4 linked regions of the Arabidopsis thaliana genome follow. The main gene of each other region encodes a partner of the protein of the gene in region 3 in a complex. Each region holds a gene or a part of one and is shown on either strand. Other genes may lie near its edges.

The links.
Region 1: RPL21C (region 3) and PRPL28 share a complex: the UniProt entries of both Arabidopsis thaliana proteins name them as parts of the 50S ribosomal subunit.
Region 2: RPL21C (region 3) and emb2394 share a complex: the UniProt entries of both Arabidopsis thaliana proteins name them as parts of the 50S ribosomal subunit.
Region 4: RPL21C (region 3) and PSRP6 share a complex: the UniProt entries of both Arabidopsis thaliana proteins name them as parts of the 50S ribosomal subunit.

Annotation. Positions count from the first base shown.
Region 1 is NC_003071.7:14,171,327-14,176,358, forward strand, and holds PRPL28 (Ribosomal L28 family), read left to right. Parts: upstream 1-2,252; 5' UTR 2,253-2,293; coding exon 2,294-2,492; intron 2,493-2,817; exon of another isoform or gene 2,818-2,821; coding exon 2,822-3,054; 3' UTR 3,055-3,263; downstream 3,264-5,032. Other genes in the region: AT2G33435 (RNA-binding (RRM/RBD/RNP motifs) family protein), read left to right, coding at 254-295, 409-498, 720-830, 950-1,039, 1,133-1,212, 1,306-1,900; RIC1 (ROP-interactive CRIB motif-containing protein 1), read right to left, coding at 3,264-3,700, 3,803-3,881, 3,971-4,071, 4,178-4,235.
Region 2 is NC_003070.9:1,500,567-1,506,389, forward strand, and holds emb2394 (Ribosomal protein L6 family), read right to left. Parts: upstream 3,288-5,823; 5' UTR 3,173-3,287; coding exon 3,138-3,172; intron 2,696-3,137; coding exon 2,396-2,695; intron 2,286-2,395; coding exon 1,949-2,285; 3' UTR 1,685-1,948; downstream 1-1,684. Other genes in the region: AXR1 (NAD(P)-binding Rossmann-fold superfamily protein), read right to left, coding at 34-113, 238-348, 601-764, 859-1,031, 1,124-1,209; GLR3.4 (glutamate receptor 3.4), read left to right, coding at 5,076-5,427, 5,551-5,823. UniProt on the Arabidopsis thaliana protein: This protein binds directly to 23S ribosomal RNA and is located at the aminoacyl-tRNA binding site of the peptidyltransferase center.
Region 3 is NC_003070.9:13,205,811-13,211,699, reverse strand, and holds RPL21C (Ribosomal protein L21), read right to left. Parts: upstream 3,018-5,889; 5' UTR 2,924-3,017; coding exon 2,609-2,923; intron 2,299-2,608; coding exon 2,218-2,298; intron 1,985-2,217; coding exon 1,883-1,984; intron 1,775-1,882; coding exon 1,700-1,774; intron 1,544-1,699; coding exon 1,454-1,543; 3' UTR 1,272-1,453; downstream 1-1,271. Other genes in the region: CDPK2 (calcium-dependent protein kinase 2), read right to left, coding at 3,642-3,782, 3,868-4,092, 4,176-4,343, 4,415-4,530, 4,629-4,781, 4,871-5,014, 5,704-5,889. UniProt on the Arabidopsis thaliana protein: This protein binds to 23S ribosomal RNA in the presence of protein L20.
Region 4 is NC_003076.8:5,906,078-5,910,767, forward strand, and holds PSRP6 (plastid-specific 50S ribosomal protein 6), read left to right. Parts: upstream 1-1,511; 5' UTR 1,512-1,670; coding exon 1,671-2,060; 3' UTR 2,061-2,387; downstream 2,388-4,690. Other genes in the region: CSA1 (disease resistance protein (TIR-NBS-LRR class)), read right to left, coding at 2,797-2,858, 2,995-3,664, 3,750-4,640.

The sequences.
Region 1 (5,032 bases), on a different chromosome or scaffold from region 3:
TTTTTTGTAAGTTTGGCTGGTAGTAGGTGTTATGATCAAAAGCTTGTTCATAGTGGTTCAACCTGGAAAGCCAAATGTCAGACCACCTTATTATAATCTTAAAGTGAAAAACACGCAGAGAATAGAAGTGCAGTTCTCTCCGCAGCTACGGCATCTTTGTGGTTGATAATGTTGAAAGCTTCACTGTATTTGCTTGCTATACTAATTTCTTTTTCTGTCAAGCTTGATATTGAGCCTAGTGTACTTGTTGCAGATCTTCATTGGCGGATTTTCAAAAGCTATTTCATCTGAAATGGTATGCTGAACTGTAATTCTTTGAAAACATTTGACACGTTCAATCTTCTATTGTCCCCATTTCTATCGTTTCAACTTCTAGGATTGTCTGATTCCTCTTTAACGTTTTTCCAGCTTATGGAGATTGTCAGCGTCTTTGGACCTTTGAAAGCATACCGGTTCGTGAGCAACAATGATCTCAATCAGCGATGCGCTTTCCTAGAGGTTAGAATGTACTTTTATTTGTGGCCAAGATACCCCCATCTTAGTCTGCCATCTCGATGTAGTTCTTGTGATTGTTTCATATCTTTAATTTTTCATTTTCCGGGTAGCATGGGAAGGTGTTATTACCTTGTAACTTTTACAGAGTAACCATGAATGTGACTGTAGTTCCAAGTATATTCATATTAACCAGCCCTAACTCTTTTTAAATCTCTATATTTCAGTACACTGATGGATCTGTTACCCTCAAAGCTTGTGCTGGTCTAAATGGTATGAGGTTAGGTGGCAGTGTAATAACAGCCGTTTGTGCATTTCCTGATGCATCATCCGTAGCGGTAATTCAGTGACCCAACTTTGCTTTCGTTAGTTCATGTTGTGTTTGTATGGGTGACATTGAACAGAAATTCCTTTAGTTACTTGTGAGAGTGGTGTGTGTACGTAATATGTGTTGCAGGTGAATGAGAATCCACCATTCTATGGGATACCTAGCCATGCAAAACCACTTCTTGGCAAGCCTAAGAATATTCTAAAGCTAAAAAATGTGGTAAGCATAATTGGTGTATCCTTTTTCTTGTGAATCTTTCCCAAATAAACTATGTGAGGCTATATTAACATTCCATTCTTTCTTGTTTGACAGGTTGACCCAGAAGATCTCACGTCGTTTTCCGAGCAAGAAGTGAAAGAAATTTTGGAGGATGTACGGTTAGAATGTGCCAGGTTAAGCTCTGAGATCATCTTCCCATGAGTCCATTGAGCTTTTAAAAGCTAGTAAATTAAGAAAATAGGCCTCTGGGTCTTGTCATGATGCAGGTTTGGGGTTATTAAGTCGATAAACATCTTGGAACACAAGAGCAAAGATATCACTGTTTCTGAAACAAATCCATTGTTGAACTTAGAATCAACTGATTCTAAAGAAATGAATGTGTCAGTGATCGAGGAGAAAGATGAAGGATCCGAGAAAGCGGAAGATATTGCAGACAATGTAGATCTTGCAGAGGTTGTCATGCCAGACAGTTTGACAGGTGAAGACAAGTTATGTGAACCGTGCTCGGATACTGCTGCTGAAACAAGCACTCAAGAAAATGAAGATCTACACTCCACTGAACAAGAGCATTGTGAAAAGATTGTTGAAGAAAGTGCGCAGGCCGAGGCAGAGAATCCACAAGAAGTAGCATCAGTGCGTACCGTGAAGACAAGATGGGATGCTGGCGACAAGATAGAAGAAGAACAAGAAGAAGACCCCGAGGATGTATTTGAGACGGGTTGTATCTTCATTGAGTACAGAAGACCAGAAGCGACATGTGATGCAGCCCATTCTTTACACGGAAGGCTATATGATAACCGGATTGTGAAAGCAGAATATGTTTCTAAAGAGCTTTACCAAATCCGGTTCCCAAGTGGGTAAATAATCCCACAACAAGTGAGACTCTGTGATTCTTCTCATCTTTACCACATAACCGGTTCAAACCGAGTTCAGAGATACATAGCATCTACAATCAAAAACCCTTCAAAAATCTCTTTGTAATCGTTGGGATTGATCAGGTTGGATTATTCATCACCACCTGTGTCTCGTTACTTTTATGTATTAGAGAATCCAAGAAGGGAAAGATGAAACCATACTATTGTGTTGGTGGCTATATGGACCGGTTTGCTTACTGAAAAATTGTTGTGTTAAAAGAGAACGTAACCTTCTGAATGAGAAAGCGTCTTTCATTTTCTACAAAATAATAAATAAAATGAACCCAATCTCCTTCTTTATCCAAATCCTCCTTCGAAGCAGAAGTAACAGCAACCAAAAATGACGACAATGGCGACACAAGGCGCTTGGCTACGAATGACCTCATCAGCCAAGTCCATGACCAAGTCAACCGTGACTTCAAAGGAGCTTGGATTCCTCACCTCCCAGCTCAGCGGCTTAAGAATCTCATATACTCCCAGTGACGTCATCAACCGTATCTCCCTTCCTTCGTTCCCCGGGATTCAGCCAATCGTCGCACGTAATTCCCCTTTTCCCTTTCTCTTAGGGTTTAGTCGAATGCATTGGCGTACTAAATTTATCTTGCTTTCGTTTTATTCATGTCGAATTTCGAATCTCTGAGTTAGCAAGCTTGTGTTGAATTGTCTGGAACTATGTCTTTGCTTTTAGATATGAAAATGAGCAGTGTATTTAAAACCCGTAGCATAATTTCTCGTATTAAACTTTTCCTTTGAATTTGATGTTATGTTAAAAAAATTCTCCAAAATTGACCACATTTATATGATTCTGAGCATTGGGCAATTTGCTCCTTTTTTCTTGAAACTGTGTTTTTGTTTTCCAAAATGTCAGGTAGAATCTGCCCTTTTACTGGGAAGAAAGCAAACAGAGCAAACAAAGTTTCATTCTCTAACCACAAGACCAAGAAGTTGCAATTCGTCAACTTACAATACAAGAGAGTTTGGTGGGAAGCTGGCAAACGTTTTGTCAAACTTCGTTTATCAACTAAGGCTTTGAAGACCATTGAGAAGAACGGACTCGACGCTGTTGCCAAGAAAGCCGGCATTGATCTTCGCAAGAAATAGATATGATGATCGCAAAGTTTATTATATACATTTCTTGCTTCTCCTTTTGCAGTACTCGTACATTTCCTTTCTAGATTTTGGTAAGTATCAATGGAATCTCTGAGTTGTTGTATCAGACACTGTCAAGAAAAGACTTTAAAGAGAAACGAAAACAAACTCTCACTTGCAGGTGGCTCAAATAATACATTTCATGGTTTTGTTTATGTTTCTCAGATAATATCGTTACAGGTTGTATCAACTGAATTCTCGGGTTTTCCTTTTGAAGACTTCTTAATCGAACCTTCTCCTCCTGCTGATGATCCTTTTAGTTTCCTAGGACGCGATGTAGCCTTCCGTGGAGGAGCTGAACCATCAGGTATTTGATTAGGAACTTCTGTGTCTGGAGCCGGGATACCACCACGCCTTCTGCGAACTGATGGTTCTTGATCATTCGATGAGTCTGTTGACCCGTGTGCGCTTCGGTTATGTCTTGAATGCTTTGATGGTTCATCTGATGATGCAGCATTTCCGCTACTTTTTCTAGGCGGAGACCCGTTATGATTTGGAGAAGCTGCTCCTCCGGGTTTCCGCCTTGTTTTCTGTTTCGGTTTCTCGTTTGTGTTCGAAGGCAGTAACTCTTTTAGCCCGGCTCCACGTTGGTTCGTCCCTATTGAGATACACATCAATTCCTCGAACCAATCCAGATTTGTTCCTCAAAGCTTAACACTTTAAGGGAAAAGGAAAAACACACTTTGCAAAAATAACTAACCTTGCGGGTTGTATTTGTTGGAATTTCCCCTGGAAACGACTTGACCTTTCTCATGTTCTTGAGTTTTAAAGTCATTCATCTGCAGTTTTTGTCCCATAAAAAAACAATAATGAGCACAGATACGTGTGACATGTATGAAAATACGTATAAATGTACGTATGATCTTACCCAGCTTGGTGTGGTGTTGGTTGGACCGTCGGAGCCAATGTGGGCAACATGCTTTACATCGGTCGGAAATCCTATCTGCATCTCCTGCTCTTTCTCTTCATCTGCAATAGAATAATTACATCCACCATGTAATTTGACTTTTGACACAAGAAACACAAATGATTTTTCATTTTTTTCATGTTTATGGGGAAAATGAATGAGACTCACCAAAAATCTGAGTAATGTAACGAAGGCCCTTAAGAAGACCCTTCATTGTCGTCGCCATTGGTCTATAAAGGGTTGGTTCCGGCTAATGTGTATCCACACGCCGGATACAACCTTTGTGGTTCAAGATTTGACGATCGTTACCGTAAACCTAACATGCAGAAAAAGAAAACGAAGAACAAATCAAGAAAAAAGTTGTAAGGCACAAACAAAAAAACAACAGAGAATATAACGAAATCTGAAGACTTAAACCTTGAACGCATGGATTTTCTCTTGACGAGAAAAAAAAATGTTGAAATGTTTTGAAGAGAGAGAGAGAGGGAGGGAGGGAGAGAGAGAAGGATCGAGAGATCTCCGAGGAGTTATTGGTTAAAGATCAACAGACCAAAAAGAAGAAGAGGAAGAGCACTAAGTTTTGTTGTTGTTTTAACAGAGGATAAAAAAATTTAGAAAAGAAAGAAATATTTTCATAGTTGTAATTAACAGATAATTTTATAATTAGATTGTTGATTGGTAATGGAGGCAACGTAGAGCTATTATCAAAGGGAACCCTCCTTTGGGAAACAAGTTGTCAAGAGGATTTTCCGGGTCGAATGGAAGGAGACACGACCACACCAATTTCTTATTTTACTAATAAACATACTCTAATGAAATCTAAGATAGTATAAAGTATTATTTAGAGAAATTGCATAGATTGCAAATACTGAAAAATGTGATATCTGAATACTAAGATAATAATTGAGAGATTTTGCAATAGTAAGCAAAATGGTTTGAACTTTGAAGCATGAGATTTACTATCTTAAAGACTTTACATTATTTTTTAACAAGTTAAACATTATTATGTTATGTGAAATATTT
Region 2 (5,823 bases), about 12 Mb from region 3:
AACATAAAGTGAGAGGATATGAGAGCAGTGGACCTCTTGAGTTCAGGCCATGGATTATTCAGGCGGAGGTCGTCAAGAAAATGATCAGGTTTTGAGTCAATTATGGGGTGCTCCTGATAAAAAAGAAAAGAAGAGAGCTTAGCATATATTCTCATTGGCCAATATCCTAACCACGGCATACCACAAAGTAATCTAAACTTTATCACAAATTGGGTCTAGACAGGTGGTATTAATTACCTTTACAGAGATGCGAACAAACCCAGCAAGGCCATAAGAGCGAACCAAAACCAACTTAACGTTTGCATCTCGACAGATTCTATCAAGTTTCAACATTGAATCTTCCACCAGCTGCAACCAATCAATGTCGAAAAGGGGATGAAATAACGAACTTAAATAACAATAACACAGGAAAAAGAAGCCTAATAAAGCAATATCCCGTGAAGAGGACGAGGAAAAGTACATATGAGAAACTAACTAAAGAACATTGAATAGAAGGTATCATGATCCATGGTGAGTGACTGTGTAAGCAAAGATTAGAACTTTGAAAAATTGTAACACACAAATCATTAGAGAAGATTACAAATAGAAAAACAATGGTACCTGAGTGGCTATAACGAGAGTGAACTGAGAGAAGAAAGATGGGTTAGTAGTAATCAACGTGTCTGGATTCTCCTCAATAAACTTGGCGTTAACAGAATCATTAAGCTCTTGGAGAAACGCACAAACAGATTTGGCTTTTGATTGGCCAACACTCTTCGCATCGACTTCACATGAAAAAAAAAAATCATCATAACGCAAGCAAGTCCCCCAAAACCCCCAGAAGAAACACAATCAAAAAGTTTCAAAATTAGTCAGTACCCATGAAATTGTTCCCAAGGTCACCAAATTGAACCTTAGATCCATCAACAACGGTGATGCTACCAACACCACCAAGTACGAGATTCTTCAAAGCCTCGGAACCAGTAGGGCCACAATTGAGTAAACAGATACTCGCTTCTTCCAAGGCCGCTTGACCTACCTCCCCCCAAATCCTAATCAGTCAACCCAACGATTACTACTTCATCAATTTTCCTCCCGACAAGAGTAGTTCGAAGTAGAGTTTAAGGAAAAAGAGTATGTATACCTGAGCTGACGATCGTACTTGGTTTTAGGTTCTACCATTGTTGGCTCTTCTTCAACATGTCTCCTGGATCTTTTTACTGCTTGCATCTTCGCAGCTCAAGCGAGAGACGATTTTTGCCTCCGGTGAACTGATAAACAAAAAGACTTTTCTTCAATCAGGGTTTTTGTTTATTTCCGAATATTTTATTGTTTTTAGGAAATTTATCGTTTGAAAAAAGTTATCTACCAAATTAAAAAATCGATATTAATATCTTACTGATTTTTTATATATATAAGCAAATAAGAAAATTTTGTAAATATTTTTTTTAAAAAAAAATTGTGAAAAAGAAGAAGATATAAGCAAATAAGAATAATCACCATGATATTGTTTTTTGTTTTATTTCCGACTATTATTATTCTTATAGGAAATTTTCGTTTTTTAAAAAGTTATCTACCAAATTAAGAATACAGATATTAATATCTTACTGTTACGATTTTTTAGATATAAGAAAATAAGAAAATTTGTAATTAAAAAAAAGAAGAATAGATTAAAAAATTGTTTTAAAAAGTTTATCTACCATGATTTTTGTCCGATTTGGATTGGTTTGGTTCAATAAGGAAACATAACAATAGAATCACACCGATGAGGCACTTTGTGCCCAAGTTCTTGTTCAATCAAAGCACTAAAGAAATTTTTGTCAGAGCATCAAAAACAATTAATGGGTTCCTTTAAAAACTTACTCAAGAATCCCAACACAAACATCTTCATTTCTAAACAAATTTGAGCAAATACACATAAACATTGAAAGGAAGAGATAAGTAAGTAGATAATAATGAAAAATGAAGATCATTTCTTCTTTCCAGCTTTTCCTTCCTTCCTCCGAACTATCTCATCGGAATACTTGACTCCTTTCCCCTTGTATGGCTCTGGTGGCCTCCACTTCCTAACCGTTGCAGCAAACTGCCCGATTTCGCTCTTGTCGTATCCACTCACAGTGATTCTTGTGTTCTCTTCCACTTTCACTTTCAGACTATCCGGTATCTGCATCTTCACCGGGTGTGAAAACCCGAGATTTAGCACCAGCTCCTTTCCGTCTACTGTTGCACGATAACCAACACCCACAAGTATAAGCTTTTTCTCAAATCCCTTTGATACTCCCACAACCATGTTATCGGTAAGCGTCCTAAAAGTCACACAGAAGTTAAAAAAAAAGATTAGAGAACAAACGATCTTTTAACCTCAAAAAAGTTAAGGACTTCATTGGATGACAAGAAAAGATGAGAAGTTTGTAACCTGAAAAGGCCGTGCATTTGGTTGGCTCTTCTAGTTTCGACGGTTTTTTTGACCCTTAAGAAACCGGATTCTTCCTTTGTAAGCTCAACTTCGCGTGGGTAAGTTAAAGCCAGCTCTCCTAATGGACCCTTCACTTTCAAGTCTTGACCTTCCAATGCAATGGTTACATTGGAAGGTACAGCGATCGGTTGCTTTCCTATCCTTGATTCTTTGCACTCAATGGTCTTACTGGAGTAACCCACTTGAGCAAAAGGTGTGCTTGAGACCTTGAACACATTTCTATCTCCCAAAAATGCTGACCTAAAACAAAGGGGAAGTTATCTATCTATCTTCAGATAAAACATGTCAAGAAAGTAAAACTCTACCAGATATATATCTAAACCAATACACAGAAACTGTTATTGGAACAAAGATAACGTTAGATTAAGGAAGAGAAACATTCTTGTAGAACTTTCAGTTTCCATGGCTAAAAACCCCTCTAGAATCCTGCTTTTTACACAGTGAGTTCCGCATAACACATTCAAATTCCCAAAATAAAAATCCACAATTTCAAGAGTCCATAACCAATTCAACATTGCCATCGATTTAAAAAGATAAAAATAACCCATTCAAAGAGATTCCTTATACTTGGGAGGCTCATGAACACAGTTTATAGAGATTTTTGAGTAGAAAATGCCAAGTAAAGAAAACGAAACCCTAGCGGAATGAAGAAGCTCTATGGTTTGTAGTATATGAAAAGTACCTGGGTTGAAAAGATGAGACGAGTGAGGAAGCCATTGATAAGATTTGATGATGGAGCTCTAAGCTCTGCTCCAGAAGGAGGATGAAGAGAAGAAGAAGAGCGTTTTATCCAGAAAAGACTTATCCATCGTCAGCTTCTGTAATCCCCTCTTTCAAATCATTACTTTCACGGCCCATTAGCTCACTATTTTCGGCCCATTACTTTTAACCATCCTTCTGTGGGACAATTCATTATTTGTGTAACCCATTTATCTATATTGATCATGGCCTATTATCTCACTGTTTCTAGGCCCATTATTATAATAACTGTTCACAAAATTTACCCAATGAACGTGGAGTTTGGATTAGATTAATGAAGTCAATAGATTATTAGTAGATGCGTTTGGATCAAAATTGTGCATCTTTCCCGATTAAGTATGTTTTCAAGTCGAATCTTTTAAAGGCATGGATTTTAAACTACTCTTAACAGACAAATTTAAAAATGAAATGGGCCCTTACCCTCAGAAAAATCCAAACAACAAATTGAGAAGATTCAAAGAAAAAAAAGATGAACTGTATATTTATTTTCCTGGTTCACATTTCATTTGGTCAAGATATTCTTGTTCTAAATAAATAAAAAGTTCGATACCGACAAGATATTTGTGGATTCAGTGGCATATTTTATTTTGTGTTAACAATTAACAAATGAAAATTTCAATAAGGAACTATGTAATAACAAATGCAGCTCTTATAAGTTTTTTTTAATAACATTCCTTAATGAACACTCTAAAGACAAAAAATAGTCGACCATGTGTTTCATGCACCTTTTATCATATGAAATCAATAGTACAATTACTTTACTATTTATGTCTGAAAATATCTTTTTCTTTTCTTTTTTTTTTGTGTGAAATTGATTTGACAACCGTTGAGGAGACTTATTCTTTGACGAAGGCGGCCTTGGAGCAATTAGGTCGTCACTCCTCACATTCACATTTTCAATTATTATTTTGCCTCATGTCATACGTAGTTACCCTAATTACCATTTAACTATATCCGTTGTAACCAAAAAGAAAAATGCATCAACTACCTTAATAAATGATAGTTACCAATAAGAGCCAACGTAAAAATTTGATTTATCGAATAGTATGAGGACACAAGTAAAGCATCGATCATACTACCCCACACCTTGGCCTACGTCTTCACTGACCACTCCAGAAATAGCACTCCAAAACAAAATTTACAAAATTTCATAAAATACCAAAAAAATAAGTAATGATAAGGAAGAAAATAGGGAAAAAAAAGGAGAGAGAATATTATGAATTATTCTTTGCTTGAGCTCAGAAACAGTTCTTCTTCTGCTTCTTCGACTTCTTTTCTCTGTCTTTCTTCTTTATGCTTAGTGCTAAATCACTCGTTTACTTGTGAAGATTATGGATCTCTGATTAAAGTTTGTTTCTCGTATTTATTCCAAGGTTGCTTCTTCTTTTTCTCAATTGGATCTTTTAATTTTTGTTTTTCTTTATGTTCTTACATATATAATCTTTAGTTATTTGTTCATTGAATTATTTATTACACTTTTTGCTTCTTTCTCTGCGAACCATCTTTAAGACGGCCCTCTTACACTTCATTATTTTCAGTTCTTACTTGCACATGTAAAGCACCAGTTTCTAGAATCAAAGGGCCTCATATAAATACATTATTTTATACACTATAAATAAATATACAGACACAAAAATCTGTATACACCAATCTCTCTACAGAATCTAACTCCCGATTTCTTGGTTGGTTTTGCCTTCTTTCACCAGATTTCTGGACCATCTTTTTTGTCTTTTGTTATAATCTCAATTTTGATTCAGGTTGGGCATTGTTTATTTCGCAGGTGTTACTCCAAATAAATCAAATGGTTATATGAGACCAGGACAAAGAAAAACTAGTGCTTTTGCTGGAAATTGTGATAAAGATGGGATTTTTGGTGATGATAAGAGAAGTTTCCATGGCGAAAGCAATCAGAGTTGTGTTGTTATGTGTTTCTGTCTTGTGGGTTGTTCCAAAGGAATGTGCTTGTAGAAGTAATTTCTCTAGAAACTCGTCTTCTTCTTCTTCTTCTTCTTTGCGGCCATTAAGACAGAGGCCAAGCTCTGTGAATGTTGGAGCTCTGTTTACTTATGATTCTTTTATCGGAAGAGCGGCTAAACCCGCGGTTAAAGCAGCTATGGATGATGTTAATGCTGACCAAAGTGTTCTTAAGGGCATCAAGCTTAATATCATCTTTCAAGACTCAAATTGCAGTGGATTTATCGGCACCATGGGAGGTATATATACTGCTTCTCCTTCTTCTTCTCTCTTACTACTGTGGCCAACTTTTTAACTCAGAACTAGTTTGTGAAAATGCCCCCAAAGAATGAGTGATGATTATGTTTCATCTTATGGTGTAGCTTTGCAGCTGATGGAAAACAAAGTGGTTGCAGCCATTGGTCCACAATCTTCAGGGATTGCTCACATGATCTCCTATGTAGCTAATGAGCTTCATGTACCTCTCTTGTCATTTGGAGCAACGGATCCGACTCTCTCCTCTCTGCAATTTCCTTATTTCCTCCGCACCACGCAGAATGATTACTTCCAAATGCATGCGATCGCAGATTTTCTATCATATTCCGGATGGAGACAAGTCATTGCGATATTCGTTGATGATGAGTGTGGCAGGAACG
Region 3 (5,889 bases):
TAACGCACCATAAAAAAACATGTATATATTAGTTAAGAAAACTATTTTAAGCCAAATACGTTCATTTTAACAAAAAAAAATATTATATAACAAACACGTAATAACGCACCATAAAAATACACTCCCGATATAATGTGCTTATAATAAACAGATTTTCTTAATTAAACAAGATTAAACCAAACAAATACAAATATAATATCAAAAATAAATAGATATAAAAAGTAAGATGATAAATTCAAAATATAACTTGATTATTTAAATATAGATGATATAGAATTAAAAAAATAATATAATTTCTAACGTAAATAATCAACCCGTGGTATACCGCGGGTCAATATCTAGTTAGTAATAGATAAATTTAGCATTTAGTTGCTTTTAAAGAAATTTAAATAAATTTCTGTAAAAATTAATTAAAAATAGTAGCCAGCATGGAAATTTTTTCATATTTTCATTTGCCAACTGGCTGATAAAAAAGGTTCTGTTAATAAAATTAAGCTGTTTATTTATTTTACTATTTAATAATCATTTCTCAGATTTTAAACCTAGTCTATATAATAACATTATTTTGAAGACTAATATTATATTTAAAAGGACAAGAAAAATATCGAAAATATTATGAAATCTCTGAAATTTAAGTTAGAAAGTAAACTGGAATCTCATAAACTAAATGAATATATATTTTACTCTATTTTAAAGCATATATTTTTAATAGTCAAGTAGTCATTATTTAGTTATTTATAAATTATCTTAACCTATATATTTTTGGTAAAGGGTTTTGTTGCACCAAACTTAAAAAAAAAAAGGTTTGCAAAACTAGTAAACCAAACTCGGACCTAATCAACCACAAGAGTAAGAAAGCAAAAAATTACAACCCAACATGTATATAGCCTTCACATGTTGTGCCACTGAAGTGAAAAGTTACAACCCAACATGTATACAACCAAACTAATAATCGGAGACAATCTATCTTTTGCATATATATAATAAAAAAAACTCATTTCTCAATTCCTCATCAGAAAATCACCATAATACATCTCACACTATTGGTGCACATAATGTCTTTTACTAGAAAATCGCAACAACATATCAAAATTTTGTCAAAAACATATCAAAAAACACCATAATGTCTTTCATGTGTTTGTGCCTTTGCGGACGGAAAAATGTTATGGACGGTCCCGTCCATTTTCAAAATCTCAATATCAATTTCTGTATTTCTGTATTGTGTCCACTGAAGTGGTAGAAGTTGTTTTATTCTATAAAATTCATTAGTATGCGTAGATTGATGGATGAGCTATATTGAAGTTTTCATACACTAACTTAGAATTTGTGATCAAAGAATGGCAAAAGGTACATATTAATAAAAGGAATCTCAGCAGAAATGAAATGACCAGGGTCCTTACAAAATTACATAGAGAAGATCAGAAAAATTTTAACATTCAAGAAACATTTTGTGTCAAAGATTTACTTCTCCAACTGCAACATTGGGCGAGGCTGGATACTCTTCATACCCTGTGATTCCGGTAATCCTAATCCTCGTATTCGGCTACAATATCAACACATAAGTCACAACATAAGTGTCATTACTTCAAAGAGATTTCAGTTTCATCAGCCATAGCAAATTACAACAAGTAACTGATAGTAGTCTGTTGATTGTAACATTACATAGTTCAAATATAAGGAAGAGGACTTTCAGCAATACCTGTCTGTGACCGATATTTCTACGGTACTTCTTCTTAGGCTTGTACTTGAAGACTACCACTTTATCATTCAAACCCTACAACAACAAATGACATTCCGGTTATTCCAAGTTTAGAGGCGACTACATAGTCGAAAATACAAAACCACCAATCAGAAATTTAAGAAATCGTTTGTATTGACTTACTTGACTTTCCACAACAGCATGTACAGTGGCATTGGTCACAACCGGCTTGCCAATGTAAGTGTGTGTCTTTGTTCCAACAAGCAACACTTTGTTGAGAACAATCTGCACAAGAGAAAAAACAAAATATGAAAACTTCAGGAATCACCAAAAATGCAACAGAGAACAGCTTAACACAATGTTAACATAGGCAAAAGAATAGAACTTCTACACAAGCCACAAAGTTTACTCAATCTTCCATAGTTACATCATCTTTTCACAGATATACCATTTCGTACACAGAGTTTTTTACAAAGAAGAACACATCACATAGTCATTGAAAGCAAATGTGCATATACCTGGTCATCAACATTTGCATCTTTTAGCCTCTGAGTGTAGAGATATCTCCCTGGAAACACTATGTATTGGCGTCCACCAACCTATTCAAACCAAAGAGAACAACACTAAGCTAAATCAGAGATTGCAAATGAGAGAAACAAAATCAATTATAACAAAGCCAAACTCTAAACCTTGAAGAGTATATGCCACAAAAACACAATCTCTCCCTTAAGAAGTCAACATTCGTTAAACCTAAACCCTAAATCTTAAGAGTAGATACCACAAAAACACAGTCTCTCATTATCAAAACTCTAAAATCAAATTCATCAATCAACCAAACCTAATTCCGAATTCCAAAAGCTAAACACCGAAATTGAGAATTTGTTGTTTCGTATGATTCAACAAGCTCACCATAATAACAGCGAAAATCTCTTCTCGTTTAGCTTTTTCCTCAGTAACCTCCGAAACATCGGAAACCACCACAGCTTCGATATCGGTAGTCTCCGGTTCAGCTTCGACGACTGATTCCGCGAATTTCGGAGCGACGGTGAATGCGGTTCGAGACGTCGACGCAGTGGAAGGAGAAAGAAATCCAGTCAGAGGTTTAGCCAAATTAAGCGAAGGTTTAGAGAGAGAACAGAGGATAGTGCTAGAACGGCGAGAATTGACATTGCAATGAGCAGAGAAAGTAGAGCAGAGAGAGAGCGTCGCTGAAGAAGACGCCATTGTTTTCGACTGAGAGAGAGCTCTAAGCTCGAGACTTTGGAGCTCGACGGAGAATAAATCCGCAGTGTTATCCTATCCACTTCCTTTGAAAATTACCATTGTACCCCTGTCTTCAAATTGGTTTAATTTCTAAGCTTGCAATTTCGGTTTACCGGTTTATTTCGGTTCAGATTTTGGGTTTTCCAATTAAGTAATATATTATATACACATCAATTTTGGTTTTGTTCGATTTTTGACAAAAATTATAATTCTAACTACTCTTAATCTCTTTATAGTGTTTAGTGTATTTAAATGTACTTTATATTTAATTAGTTATATTAATTCTGAATATTGGTTAATTACAAATTCACCAAATTTGGTTTCAATTTGAGATTTGGTCTGGGTTGTTATAAGAATTTAGATTTGGTTTGGGTTGTTATAAGAATTTTCTACAGTTTCACAGTTTGTATTATAACAAAATTACTTATGAAATCCGATTTTGGTTCGGTTCGGTTTCTTTTCGCCATCCCTAAATCACATTTCTTTGGAATTCAAAAACTTTTATATGAAGCAAAAATTATCCATATGAGGATAAAAATTTAGAAAGTTGCTCATGTACAAAAATAAAAAGGAAAGCAAAAAACAAGCCAGAATATATTTTTGTATCCTTAGAAATTAGAATTCAAAATATAAACGAAATTAAAGAGAAAAAAAACAGAAATTGTGGAAGAATGATGAGTCAGTCATCAGATTTTTCACCATCAACTCCAAAAGCATCAGCAATGTTGAAGTTCAAGTTCTTCATCATGGTTCTGCTTCTCCCAACTCCATCTCCTTTCCTCATCATTGCTGTAAACTCCGAGAAATCGATCTTCCCGTCCTACATAATTCAAAAGCTCTCGGTTATAGTAAAGTAACATTGAAGAAGGAGGTAAACAAAGAGAAGAAGAAGAAGAGTGGTTTACATTGTCAAGATCAATCTCCTTGATCATGTCGTCCAGAGGTGTATCACATAGACCAAACTCTGTGCAAGCTGACTGAAGCTCATCGATGGTGATATAACCGCTTCCGTCTTTGTCAAAGTACGAAAATGCAGCCACCAGATTCTCCTCTCTCTCCATCTTGTTCATGTGTAAGGTTGCTGCTAGGAATTCTCCGTAGTCTATTGTACCACTGTTGTCGATATCAGCCTGTGACCACAACACACAGAGGATGTTAAACGGAAACAAAAGTTTTTGAAAAGAGGAAAGAGTTTGTTTTGGTTCTTTCATACCGCATCCATGAGAGACTTGATTTCTGATTCCATCAGTTCAGATCCGACTCTCTTCAAACCCGCTTTGAGCTCTTCAAAAGTAATCGTTCCGCTGTTGTCTGTGTCTATCATCTTGAACAATTCCTTCAGACCTCCAATTTCTTCCTCTGAAAGTCTCTCAGCAATTACCTGTGTTCAGAGAAATCAGCATACGGATTGGACATAAAGAAAAAGCGAATGTATATTACTCGAATTCATACCCGTAATGCCATTTTCTTAATCTTATTCATTTGAGAAAACTGCTTTAGACGAGATAAGACTGCTGGATCAAGAGGCTTGTCTGGTGCTGCTTGTTCATCGACAATCCATGGGTGACCTATATAACATTCAGAGCAAACTCAATACTCATTATTTACCATAAAAACAATTCACAACAGTTGCTAATTCCAAATGAACAACAAAGAATGAACATACACAAGGCTTCATGAGCAGAAATGCGTTTCTTGGGGCTCCTTTCGAGCATTTTATAGATCAAATCTTTAGCAGCTTCTGAGATAGTAGGCCACGGGTCAGATTTGAAATCTAACTTCCCTTGCAATATCTGTCTAAAGATTCCAGACTCAGTCTCTGCAATGCCCAAGAGAAAAGAATACATCATTCAAACAAAAACTCGAAACTTGTAAATAGAAAAGACTCTACTTTTTTAGTAGACTAACCTGCCCAGAAGGGAGGAACACCGCTGAGTAAAATGTAGAGGATAACACCAGCACTCCACACATCTATTTCAGGTCCATAACATTTCTTTAGCACCTCTGGTGCAACATAGTACGGACTTCCAACTACGTCATATAAATATTGTCCTGAAGAAGCAAACAAAAACCAATTAGCCGATAAACTGGCATTAATGAGAAGGTTCAAGCCAGACACACAAATGCAGAATAATTTCGATCTACACATTAAGTTTCAGAGACTCCTCAATGACGAACATCTATACACATTAATTTCGATCAATACAATGTTCCCTCTAAGAAGGTAACAAATTTGAATCCAACCAAACAGATCATCAAACCTATACATACCGAAAACCTTATTTCGATTTGCAATCCATATAAAACACAACAAACCTGTTTCTATCAAGAAACCACTTTGTTTCAATTTTCGATTCATAGAAAACACAAATAACCTGATTCTACAAGAAACCAAACCAAAGACTTAATCAAATGCAGAATAGTTCCAATCCACACATTCAAAGACTCCTCAATGAGTAACAACTAACCAAAGCAAGCTCCCTAACTACACCTTATAGACATTGTCCTGAAGAGTAAACTAAAACCAATTAGGCGATGAACCACCAACAATAAGGTTTCAAAGAATCACAGATACAAGCCAAAATACACAAATGCAGAATCATTCCAATCAACACATAAACTTTCAAAGACTCAATGAAGATACAAAGCAAAATTCCCTTAAGCAACGAAAAAATCATCATCAAACCAAAACACCAATTGCAAGATTAATGAATCAATCAACCAAAAGAGAAAAATCAAACCTGGCTTATAGAAGACAGACAAACCAAAATCGGTAGCCTTAAGCTTAGCATCATCTTTAGGACTATCAAACAAGAAATTCTCAGGTTTGAGATCTCTATGCATAACACCAAGAGAATGACAAGCCTCAACAACACCAAGAATCGTCTTAATAAGCTTGACAGCTTCACGCTCACTAAAATGACCTT
Region 4 (4,690 bases), on a different chromosome or scaffold from region 3:
ATGTATGTGTTATATCGTGTATAACTATTTAATTTGTTTAATTCACTTGTTCGATTGTATCTTCTTCTTAAACTTAAATCATCTTTTGGTTATATGTGTGTGTCTAATAACTATGTAATCTTTCTTTCAATTCTAATAAAATAAAACAAGATGTTAAAAAAAAAAAAACTATTTAACTATCCATGGTTGATGACTCGTACTTAAGACAAATAATCAAATTTCGTGATTCTAAAAATGAATGAAATTGATTGATATATAAGTGGGATTAGAAAAAAAAGAGTCAGATAAGTGTTATCTCGCGGTTATAATTTCAACGGTGCTAAGATAAGGATAAGGTTTGCGAAACTATATACTAATGCAACAATGGGTACCGTAGGTTTGTGATACCTAATTTGATCTAACCAACAGAATCTCTTCGTACTAGTGTAATCGAGTGGCTGAGCTGTTGATATAGAGATACGTAGTACTATTATTGTAAATAAAGAACCCAAAGAATCAAATTTGTCGACAACAAAATAAGGGGTGATAATCCGATGCACGTGGATTTGGTGAATGTATTGGATAATGCTAGTCACGTAGAAGAAAGTAATCTTATTTTGGGCCATAATTTTAGTAAATGTTTTTGAGTCTACGTAAAGAAGAGTAATTTTCATGGCAATCGCAATTTTCGCTGACAATTGATTATTTTGATATAATGTGAAATTGGTTAGGTTGGTGATAGTAGCTAGTTTGAAGCCTAACTTAGGCTTGTTATTGAGGTATAATACATTATTAACCATAAGTATTAGACAGGTTTTGGACAAATATATTTATTGGTCGCTTTGGCAGCATTGAAAAACCCTAAAAGCCACTAGAATGGATGTCTTCGAATGTCAGTTCACATAAATGTTCGCTAGCTTAATTTTATTTTCTTTTTTAAAAGAGAGGAAGCAATGATAACATAAACATTTTTATAGTGTTTTTTTTGAAACAAAAAGTTAGTTTTCTTCCTCAAATTCGATAACTAAATTACACCATAAATGAGAATATGTTTTTAGTTAAGTAGTTAAATCCATTTGATTCTACCTTTTTTACCAGAGTTTGACTCTACTAAGTCGTGTTACTTCGCATAATAAGGATTGACTATGAATCGTGTCTTGTTTATAAAAAAAAGAAAAAAAAAATTACACAACAAAGTTAAGAAAATTCAAATTTATTAATTTAATAAGCATACTTTGAATATAAATAAATCCTAAAACTCAAACTAATAAAAAAAGTATTTTTTTGTGTAGTATTAAAAGATGCAGAATCCGAAATAATGTATTTTATTGTAGAAGTGATTCAAAAGACCTTATCTCGTAGTCACTTGTAGCATTATTGGTTTAAGGTTAAAGAAAACATTTAAAACTCTGTATACATCATACATGACATCTTTACAAATTGCAAAATATACATTTTTAATCAGCTACTCTATTCTTAAATTCCTTTAATTAACGAGGTTATACAGTTCGATACGTTTAAGCAACAAAAAGTTCGATGCCACTAATAATTTAATTTTTGTTCTCTTCTTATCTTATAGATTGTTGCAGCCTGCAGGCTTGCAGCATAACGAGTTACATAACTATATACAAAGGCCCAATAGACACCTCAAAGGCCCAATAAAAAAGCCCAGGAAAAACGAAAACGAAGATATGAAGTTCTTCTCTAATCCGAAGCAAGAGGCTCAAACTCACTTTCACTTGCACAAAGATAAGGAAACCATGTCTGTGTCAGCGATCTTTGGTACCGGAATCGTCACCGTTGCTGCTTCTCCGGTTCTCCGCCAATTTCAAGTTCCAAAATTGGGTAATGGAGGAGGATTAGGGATGGTGATAGAGTGTTCGTCGAGGCCACAGAAGAAATCGACGGCTCATCACAGGAAGACGAGGCCGAAGAAGACTCAGCCTTGGGACATTAAGAGAAAGCCTACTGTTTACGCTCCTCTTCCTCCTCTTCCGGCGGAATGGAGTCCGTTCACTCTCGCTTCTGACGACGGTGGTGCTGCCACTGCTGCGGGAGATTTGGTTTCAGGCGCTGCCTAGTTGGTATGAGTTATCTGCTGATTTGGTTGTAATCTAGTTTGAGAACTTTTGTTGTTGTTTACTGTGTTTTCAGTTTTCTGATGTTTGTTGTTGGGTTTGTTTGTGTTTGATTGGTGAATGAATGGACCAAATTTGCGATTTATAAAGCTTCAACCTTTCTCCTCTGTTTTTGAGTTTAAAGGTCTCAACTTTATAGTTTATAGCTCTCGTCATTGTCATCTATGTTGCTTCTCTATAATTGCTTTTTTCCTTTTGGGTCTCATTAATTTCTGCAAGTAGTAATTGAATTGGGATGACAAGAGTTTAAGTTTGATATGTGAAAATGAAAGCACAATGGTATCTGTTTTGTGGCGGTTGATGCTGGAGTTGTTGTCAAATGCTCTGTTTGCTGCCATAGCAATGGGAATGTAGCTTCTAAAGAGTACGGTATAGTATACCGCATTATTGGAATTTTAAAATTTCCCTTTAGATTGGATTCAGGTGAAACGGCAATGTGCTCTGCTCACCATAGTGCAACACTTGGTCTAAACACTCTATTGTAGATTTTTAAGCCAAGTGATCTAAAGTGTGTTTGATGAAGAGTTTCAGCAAAAACATTTTTAGAAATGTTTATATCAGTTATGGGTTGATCACTCTGATTCTTGAATCTATCTTGTATCGGTCTAGTCCCAGGAGAAATTTAGAAGATCGATTTATCTTGCATTGCATGTTTATGGAGTCAATTCCAAGATCAACATCAATGGCTATACATTTCATAAAGCACGCATACAGAGTACATCCCGTTGAACCCATTAAACCCTGACACCTTAAAAGCTTAAGTCAAATCATCTGGAGAAATACACAATGAAGATACAAATACAGAGAGTTCGAAAGAATAAATAGTGTGAAAACAGAGGCAATCTATGAGTTTAACACAAAAGAGTGGAACCAAAACCAGTTTTTTGGGAAGAATGAGCTTCACTTGGGATGTTAGTGCTAGAGTTTTCAATGTAAGTCTGCCACTGGCCCTTTGGAGATTCATTACCTTTTGCTTGATCCTTGAAACAACCATTAGCACTTGGAGTTTTGTTGATTTTTACTTTACCTTTTACATCATCATTCCTTGGGGATGGAACTCTGTTCTCTTCAGGTTCAAACACAAAACTGAAACCGGATTTCAAAACTTCAAGCGTAGCTTCCCCACCAGTACCAGTTCTCACACTAAACTCAAGGGATGCTTTGGTCGGAGCACATTTAGGACCACCTTGGCCTTTAACAAGTTTTATGAAGTCTAAGCAGTTGGTGTAGCCAATAAAGACATGATCTGATTCAACTGTTTCTTCTTGGTTGTCTTGTTCAATCAAACTTCCAACCTTCCAAGTAATGCTGCTGGAAGAGCCCTCTCCGTTATTTTGCTCACAAGAGAACTTGACTATCAAGTTGGCATGACTTTTACAGTTCTTGAATGAGACAACAACACATAGGGCTATCCCAGAAAGCCTATTGTGATTCCAGTGAGGAGGTAATTCAAACTCCACCATAGATCCAATTGCATCGTGACTAAACCATGAAGGCATTTCACATCCAGGAAAGCTAGTGCAGAACAAAATCTCAGGAACACAACTCTGCAAAGTTATACAAAGGGGATATACCATTAACCTCAATTCCACTACGCAAAAGAAAACTCTCAAGGGAGAGGAATAGAGATACCTCATCGCATCGTTTAAGCGCACTAGCAAGCAAATGACACTTCCTTTCAGCATATACTACAATTTCCTCCTTTGCAGCTTGTTCCAATTCATTGCAGTTAGTGAAAATGAACGAGGAATTGACATGCTTCATCGGTATAGAACATACCAGCGGTTTTGCAACTGTCTTCAGTGAGCTACAACCATGAACGTTTAAATACTGAAGATTTGGTGGAAGCTGTGGAACATGTGTAAGATTCTTACAATACTTCAAATGAAGCCATTGAAGTTGAGAAAATTTATTGAGGAGATCTGGAAGGCGGCTGATCTTTTCATTCTTGTTTAAGCATAAACGACGCACGGAGAGTATCTTCGGCATATCTTTTATAGCTGTCTCATCCAGAAGCAAGATCTCTAAGCGGCTCATGTTTCCCCAAGTTTCTGGAAACTCATTGAGCTTTGAACAACCAGAGAGGATAAGTTCTTCAAGAGCTTTCAGCTGACCAAGACTGTCAGGGAGCCTTTTCAGCTTCTTGCAGCCTTTCATGTTCAACATAACAAGTCTTTGGAGTCTCCCAATGTCACAAGGAAGTTCCTTTATTGCAGTTCCATCCAAGTATAGTGCTTCCAGCTTATCTGAAATAACCTGAAAGGTTTTAAATTTTGAGCAGCCACTGAGGATGAGAGTTTTCAAAGAGATCAACTGAATCTCTGGAAGAGACTTGAGACTTGTGCATCCTCTCAGGTTCAAGAAAACAAGAAACTTCATATTTTCCATATCCACATGCATCTCTTTCAATGCCGTGCAACCTTCAAGATTTAGCTCTTGAAGATTTTGAGCTTTTCCTAACCCTGCCAAAGTGTTCAACTTCTTTGAGTGATTTAAGTTTACCCATTTTAATTTTGGTGCATCCTGGGGCAATGAACAACAATCATTACAAAGAGTCAGACAACACCCTAAGT